2 linked regions of the Macaca mulatta genome follow. Each later gene encodes a partner of the first gene's protein in a complex. Links are inferred from orthologs where the notes say so. Each region holds a gene or a part of one and is shown on either strand. Other genes may lie near its edges.

The links.
Region 2: the proteins of BRME1 (region 1) and HSF2BP are in contact, whole or in part, in a crystal structure (PDB 7Z8Z), measured with the Mus musculus proteins. The link is inferred for Macaca mulatta from reciprocal best matches to the Homo sapiens genes BRME1 and HSF2BP. Residues at the interface, in NP_083321.2 of Mus musculus: Met541, Gln542, Asp543, Ala544, Thr545, Val548, Arg549, Leu551, Val552, Leu555, Ser556, Asn559, Ile562, Met563, Thr565, His566, Leu569, Lys573; in NP_083178.1 of Mus musculus: Glu23, Phe24, Val25, Lys26, Val27, Arg28, Asp31, Leu32, Arg34, Leu35, Glu38, Val39, Gln41, Ile42, Phe45, Leu46, Arg48, Ile49, Glu53, Leu54.

What each region holds. Positions count from the first base shown.
Region 1 is NC_133424.1:14,493,121-14,497,511, reverse strand, and holds the start of BRME1 (break repair meiotic recombinase recruitment factor 1), read left to right. Parts: upstream 1-1,486; coding exon 1,487-1,624; exon of another isoform or gene 1,625-1,892; intron 1,893-2,863; coding exon 2,864-2,915; intron 2,916-4,391. Other genes in the region: CC2D1A (coiled-coil and C2 domain-containing protein 1A), read right to left, coding at 1,097-1,156. UniProt on the Homo sapiens protein: Meiotic recombination factor component of recombination bridges involved in meiotic double-strand break repair.
Region 2 is NC_133408.1:3,903,045-3,906,852, forward strand, and holds part of HSF2BP (heat shock factor 2-binding protein), read left to right. Parts: intron 1-2,901; coding exon 2,902-3,060; intron 3,061-3,808. UniProt on the Homo sapiens protein: Meiotic recombination factor component of recombination bridges involved in meiotic double-strand break repair.

The sequences.
Region 1 (4,391 bases):
TTCAAGCGATTCTCCCACCTCAGCCTCCTGAGTAGCTGGGATTACAGGTGCCCACCACCATGCCCAGCTAATTTTTGTATTTTTAATAGAGATGGGGTTTCGCCATGGCCTCCCAAAGTGCTGGGATTACAGGTGTGAGACACTGCACCCGGCTTCCATTTTTAATTTTTAATTTTTATTTTAGAGATTCTTGTTCTATCACCCAGGCTGGAGCAGAAGTAGTGCGATCACAGCTCACTGCAGTCTTGAACTCCTAGGCTCAAGCAATCCTCCCTTCTTAGCCTCCCAAATAGCTAGGACTACAGGCACATGCCGCCATGCCCAGTTAGTCCTTTTATTTTTTGTTGAGACGGGGGTCTCGCTTTTGCCCAGGCTGGTCTCAAACTCTGGCCTCAAATGACTCTCCCGCCTCTGCCTCCATCTCCTGAAGTGCTGGGATTATAGAGGTCTCCATTTTACAGATGAGAAAGCTGAGGCTCAGAGCTGTAAAGTCAAATGTCCAATGTACAGAGGCCAGGAGGGAACTTCAGGTCAGCCAGACTCTAATATCTGAACACCAAGCTATGTCCTGGGCTCCTTCCATGAAAACAGAAAAATCAAACTATCTGGTGCCTGGGGCAGAGGAGTTGGGAGAGGGAGAAGGGGCCCAGCCACAGTGCCATAAGTGCCATAAGCTTACGGCTGCGGCCCTGGATTTGTGCTTAGCTCTGGCCAAGCTGTTAATCCCTATGACCTTGGGCAGATGTCTTCACGTCTGTGAGTCTCAACGTCCTCATCTGTACAATGGAATAGAGTCTGGCATGGCCCGACTGATGCAAGGGTTTGATGTGTCAAGTCCGAGGACTGCCCCTCCCCGACTGGAGCAGCTGTGGCAACAGGTGGCCCCGAACCTGGGGCAGGGCCCCAGGAGCTGGGGAGCCAAGGCCAGTAGTAGACCACACTTGAGTGGGGTTGGGGCCTCACCTGGAGGGGGGGCGGGGACCGGGGTTTACCTGGGGGGCGGAGATCGGGCCTCCCTGGGGGGTGGGGCCCTTCCCTGAGTGTGTGACCGGGGTGGGGAGGGATCCCCAGGTCGCGCCGTGGGGCGCAGACTCACCTGGCGGGCGGCCGCGGCGCCTCTGCCCGGGGGTCCCGGGGGTCCTTTCCTCTTGTGCATCTTCCAGGCTGGATGCCCGAACCACCTGCCCCCAAGCCCGGCCTTGCCCTGCCTCCTTCCCCGGGCCCTGTCGCCGCGCACGCGCCCTTCCTGAGTCCTGCAACCCTCGTCGGCGCTCCGCGGCCGTCGATCCCGAGCCCTCGCCTCCCTGCTTGGCCGCCCCACTTCCGCCTCGGGCCTCGGGCGCCGCTGCACCGGAGCGCGGCCACTGGACTCGCCGGGTCCGCCGAGCCGAAACTACAACTCCCGGCAGGCAGTGCGCGGGCGCGCATGCGCTTCGCAGGGCGGTGCTCACAGTCGCGGGCTGCGTGGGCGGTGCTTGCGTCGCGCATGCGCGGGGCGGGGCCTCGCGAGGCGCGGGAAAGAGGCAGAGCGAGCGCAGGTGGGAGGGGCGGCGACCTGTGTGAGGTTCACAGCGTCCCTCAGTCACCGATAGGCTCCGGCTTCACGTGGGCGGAAGGACTCACTGTGAGGACTCACTGTGGAGTTTCGGTGGTCGACGTAGTGTTAGTGTGGGGCTTGTCACCGGGAGCGGGGTCCACAGCGCCCACCCTCAGGCCTTTCCATCCTTCAGCTCCCGACTCGAGGCCTCCAGGCTTCTGTGAGGGCCAATTTGGCCATTTATTTTTTCCAAAAAGAGTAAACGCTGATAATTCAACCGACTTATTCCCAACGGATCCAGGCAGAGTTCGTTTCTGATAAGGACAGAGGGTCCTCAGCGACTTCTGCGGCCCAGGTCCGTTTTGGCTTGCGTGGCCCCCAAGGCTGGGAGAAACCGGCCTGTGGCAGCTCTTGCCCCTCCAAGGATGCAGCTGTCCCCTTTAAAATGGCACGATCTTGGCTCACTGCAACCTCTGCCTCCTGGGTTCAAGCGATCCTCGTGCCACAACCTCCTGAGTAGCTGGGATTACGGGTGTGTGCCACCATGCCTGGCTAATTTTTTTTTTTTTTTTTTTTTTTTTTTTTTGAGACGGAGTCTTGCTCTGTCGCCCAGGCTGGAGTGTAGTGGAGCGATCTCGGCTCACTGCAAGCTCCGCCTCCTGGGTTCAAGGAATTCTACTGTCTCAGCCATCCGAGTAGCTGGGATTACAGGTGTGTGCCACCACGCCCAGCTAATTTTTGTACTTTTAGTAGAGACGGACGGGGTTTCACCGTATTGGTCAGGCTGGTCTGGAACTCCTGACCTCAAGTGATCCGCCCACCTCAGCCTCCTAAAGTGCTGAGATTACAGGCGTGAGCCACCGCGCCCAGCCTAATTTTTGTATTTTTAGTAGAGAGGGGGTTTCACCATATTGGCCGGGCTGGTCTCCAAAGGCCCCAGAGGCCCCTGGAGAGTCCTCAAGTGTCCTTGGAAGGGCCCCCAGATACCCTAGTCGGGAGGGAGGGTTCACACAGGCTGTTTCATCCCAGGGACCAGAGTGTAGGTCCCCGGGGCTTCCCATAAGGACCCCCGAGGTCCCATTTGTCTTTCAGGTCCTGGGCATAAGATCTTTAGTTTGGAGGAGGTTTGAATTCCTACCTGGCCATGGTCCAAAGTAGCTGTGACTCTGTGTCCCACGCTGTGTCCCAATGGGAGCCATCTGACCCCTGGGGCAGCCACATGAGCCGAGGTGGAGGCGGGGGTAACCTCTGCTCTCAGCCAAAGCCACTGGATATAAACAGAGACAGGGACTGCTTATAATGATGAGAGATTTTGCTTGTTTTCAGATTTCTCAAGGGGAAGATAAAATGACAAAGAGGAAGAAGCTGCGGACCTCAGGTATGTTCATTCAAATGAACACTTCTTGATTTCTACTTGTGCTCGTGGGAAGAATGTGGGCTTGTGTATTGCAGATTTGGCTAACATGACCGTCCCAACCTCCTTAAAAGAAAATAAGGATTGGCCAGGTGCAGTGGCTCGTGCCTGTAATCCCAGCACTTTGGGAGGCCAAGCGGGCAGATCACAAGGTCAGGAGTTTGAGACCAGCCTGACCAACATGGTGAAACCCCATCTCTACTGATAATACAAAAATTAGCCAGGTGTTGTGGCACGTGCCTGTAGTCCCACCTACTCGGGAGGCTGAGGCAGGAGAATCACTTGAACCTGGGAGTCCGATGTTGCAGTGAGCTGAGATGGTGCCAGTGCACTCCAGCCTGGGCAACAGAGCAAGACTCTGTCTCAAAAAAAAAAAAAAAAAAAAAAGAAGAAGAAAAGAAGAAAAGGATTTAATTCAAATAGAAGGCCAGGTGTGGTGGCTCACACCTGTAATTCCAGCACTTTGGGAGGCCGAGGTGGGCAGATCGCTTGAGTCCAGGAGTTCGAGACCAGCCTGGGCAACATAGCGAGATCCTGTCTCTACAATGTAAAGTAAGGAAATTAGCTGGTTGTGGTGGTGGCAGGCATCTGTAGTCCCAGCTACTCAGGAGGCTGAGGCAGGAAGATCGCTCGAACTGGGAGGTGGAGGTTGCAGAGAGTCAAGATCGCACCACTGCACTCCAGCCTGACTGATAAGAGTGAGGCCCTGTCTCAAAAAAGAAGGAAAGAAAGAAAAATAGAAATAATGGAGAGGGCATACAGGAAAAGTAAAAGTGAAAGTTTTCTGGAGCTTCTGCAAGCCTCTGGTGGGGTCCCACAGCTTAGAGGAGGCCTCCCCAGGCTTCAGGGCAGTGGGACAGCCTCCCTGCGGAACCAGTACTAGAGATGACCCCTGGAATAATGCTTGATGTACTACAAGGCTACTTGGCATGTGGCTGAGTGTTTTACTCTGGGGCCCAAAACCTGGGTTCATCCCAGTTCTGCTCACTGTGTGGTGGTGGATGATTTCCTCTGTGCCTCAGTTTCCCCTTTTGTAAATTGGGGATAATAAAAGTCACCACCCTTTCCTTTAGAGCAGTGTTTATCAACTAGGTGACAGGAAGGGATTTTGACCCCCAAGGGATAGTTGGCAATGTTTGGAGACTTTTTTGTTTTGGAGACCAAGTCTGACTCTTGTCCAGGCTGGAGTGCAGTGGCGAGATCTTGGCTCACTGCAGCCTCCACCTCCCGGGTTCAAGTGATTCTGCAGCCTCAGCCTCCTGAGTAGCTGGGACTACAGATGTACACCACCACACCTGCCTAATTTTTGTATTTTTAGTAGAGATAGGGTTTCACAATGTTGGCCAGGCTGGTCTCAAACTCCTGACCTCGGGCGATCCGCCTGCCTCAGCCTTCCAAAGTGCTGGGATTGCAGGTGTGAGCCACTGTGCCTGGCCTAGA
Region 2 (3,808 bases), on another chromosome or scaffold:
TACTGTTCTGAAGGTTTATTCGTGTTATAGCATACATCATTTATTCTTTTTTATTGCAGAACAAGATTCCATTGGGTAGATGTATCACATTTTCTTCATCCATTCACCACTTGATGGCCGTTTAGATTGTTTGCAGTTTTCTTTTTTTCTTTTCTTTTTCTTTTTTATTTTATAGATATAGGGTTTCGCCATGTTGGCCAGGCTGGTCTCGAACTCCTGGCCCCAAGTGATCTGCTCGCCTTGGCCTTCCAAAGTGCTGGGATTACAGGTGTGAGCCACCTTGCCTGGCCTGTTCCAGTTTTTGACTGTTATGAATAATGCCACTACAAACATTTGTGTACAAGTTTTTCTGTGGTCATATGTTTTCACTTTTCTTTTCTTTCTTTTTTTTTTTTTTTTTTTGAGACAGGATTTCGCTTGGTCACCCAGGCTGGAGTGCAGTGGTGTGATCTCCACTCACTGCAGCCTCCACCTCCCAGGTTCAAGCAATTCTTCTGCCTCAGCCTCCTGAGTAGCTGGGATTACAGGCGCGCACCACCATGCCAGCTAATTTTTGTATTTTTAGTAGAGACGGGGTTTCACCATGTTTGTCAGGCTAGTTTTGAGCTCCTGACCTCAAGCAATCCACCTACCTCCACCTCCCAGAATGCTAGGATTACAGGTGTGAGCCACCACATCCGGCCCTGTGATTCATTTTGAATTAACTTTTTTTTGCATATGAATATTCAGTTGTTTTAGCATCAGTTGTTGAAAAGACTATCCTTTTTCCATTGAATTGCATTGGCACCTTTGTTAAAATCAATTTTTTCAGTGTTTCACTGATCTATATGTCCATCTTTATACCAATGCCACACTGGTTCTATTTTGGTAGTTTTATAATTAGTTTGTTTTTTCCTCTAAATCAGGCACTGTTAGTCTTCTAACATTGTTCTTCTTTTTCAGACAATTTTTTAGATATTCTGAATCTTTTGCATTTCCATAGAAATTTTAGAATCAGATTATCACTTTGTACAGAAGTCGGCTGAGATTTTGATAGGGATTGTGTTGATCGGTTTGGGAAGAATTGACATCCTACCAATTTTTGAACATGGTATATCTATTTAGCCTCTTCTTTACTTTCTCTCAGTAATGCTGTGTAGTTTTCATTGTATAGGTCTTGCACTTTAAAAAATTATTCTTATTTTTGATGTTACTGGGAATGCTATGATTTTGAGTTTTTTTGTTTTTTTTTTTTTTTTTTTTTTTATATTATTGTACTGTGTGTGGAACCCTGCATTGGGGAATATCCTCCTGCACCTACCAAATGTGACTGTAGTGAGGAAAGTCCTGCCTGGTTATTCTCAGTAGTCTTTTTGTGGTCGTGCAGAAGAACCACCATACCCTGACTAATTGAGACGCAGACTGCTTAAGTTGTGAGAAAAGCTAGAATTCCAAAAGGAAGTGCTGTGACATAGTTTTCTTGATGTGTCACCATGATTTGTGTTCAGCTGCATACACTGGAAGGATGAATCTAGGAGTCCAGATTGTTGTTATAATGAAGACATTAAAAACTCAGAGTTGACAGGTCACATGATGCAGTATTAGCATGTGCCAGAGGTTCAGTGGCCGTTTTTTTCTTAAATACATGTGTGTGTATATGTATGAATGTGTATGAATCTCTGTGTGCCAAATGCATTGTCTCCAGGTAACTATGAGTGGGCCACCCTAATCCAAGTTACGAGGTCAACAGTATTGATTTGTGGCCCCAAAGCTCTCTTTTTCCTCCAGGGGGTGAAAAGCCCCCTCTATTTTTGTCTTGTATTCATCTCTGTAAAAGAAAATCTACAACATTTAATATACTTTAACTTTGTGGTTTATGTAACTCATTATATTTGGTATACATGAATTTGACTAGGGTTTTGTATTTTTCAGTTTTTGTCTTATTAAATCAGGAAATGCTATCACCTTTTGAGGGAATTTTAGGTACCTGGTGCTGGTGGTTGGAGAGGACAGAAAGCCCCACATCACTCCAGTAGTGCACTCAAGGTGAATCCTCCAAGTGTGCTTGTGTTGTTCAGGAGGGCCATCAGGATGGCCATTCCCTGTGTTTCCCCTGTGAAGAGAGCCATGGCGGAGACTTACCCAGCTACAGGTCACCTCAGACACTGCTGGTGGGAGAGTAGGAAACTCTTCCTAGCCTCCATCTTATTGTTAGACTGGCACTGGCTTGCTGCACCAGGGCATGAATAGGACTCCCAGCCTTCACAATTCTTTTTGCCCCTCCTCTCATCTTTCCTACCTGGTCTTAGGTTTTAGGTTTTCTTTCCCTGTTTAGCTTCACAGATTATATTTTATGTTTACTGGCACTTGTGGCAATATTCTCATGAGGACTTAAGGATATGTTTATATAGAATGAGTTTTTCTAAAGTACTTTTTTTTACAAATCCTGATGTCCAAGTGCCTTTTATTTGGCGTCTGCCTCTGGCAGATGGTGTTTTTTCAGTGGAGTGAGCCATTTGGAGGAGGCAGTCTCCTGTCTTAGAAATGTTGCTCTCTGGGTAAACTGCTTTGTGAGGTTGTTTTTGTTCAGAAGCCTCGGTTGGTGCTGGTTCTGAGTATAGTCACTTGGGGCTTGAGATATTTCATGTAGTTACTTAAAGCAGATGAATTCAGCTCTGTGGGTTTATCAACCAGAATATAGTAGTATGTTCTTTCCTCAGATATTTCTCAGATGTTTTTGCCTTTGAAATTTCTTCTGTAGATATAGATTATGGCTCTCTTAGGACTGGCTTTCATTTGCAACTATTTTCTATAATTATACATGCATTTCTTTAATAAATACCTTTGTGAAAGAGGAAATGTAATAAAGATATGTCACGGTTGAATGCTATTATTTATTTTTCGATTTTGCTTTGCTTTCAGGAGAAACTGGCTCTTCGACAGCAGCTGAATGAAGCGAAGCAGCAACTTCTGCAGCAGGCAGAGTATTGTACAGAAATGGGAGCAGCAGCTTGTACCCTCTTGTGGGGCGTCTCCAGCAGCGAGGAAGTCGTCAAGGCCATTTTGGGAGGAGTAAGTATGGTCAGTGGGCTCTCTAGATATTGTTGATTAATGCTTGTATAACTTAGAGCATATAGCTTATTAAGGCATTTAAAGACTAAGTCCCTATCTTTCCATTTTCTTGTGTTCGTTCATCAGCTAGTTATTGAATACCTATCGTATGTGGTTCATTGTAACCTGATGCAAAGTGAATGAAATAAGCCCCCTTCTCTCCAGGAGACCTTGTGGTATATGTGGACATATTACCACTTCAGTATTAATACTTTATATGTGTTTAATAAGATCAAAAGTGCTTTTGTATATATTATCTCATGGTTAATATAGTATTTAATTTATTGAATATATGTTCTCTAACATATACATGTATATAGATGTGTGTGTTTGTACACACACACACGTACATATAGATGCAGTTGAACCTTGAGCAACATGGAGGTTAGGGGCGCTGACCTCCTGTGCAGTCGAAAACCACATAGAACTTTTGACTCTACGGTTGGCTGGAAGCCTTACTGATAACATAAATAGTTGATTAACACATTTTTTGTATGTTAGATCATCATAAAGATCTTCACCCTCATCGTCTTCAAATTGAGTACATTGAAGAGGAGGAGGAAGAGTTGTTGGGTTGGCCTTGCTGTCTAAGGGGTGGTAGAGGTGGAGGAGGTGGAAGGGGAGGCTGGAGTAGCAGACACACTCAGTGTAACTTTTACTGAAGAAAATTCTTGTGTAAGTGGACCTGTGCAGTTCAAACCCTTGTTTTCAAGGTTCA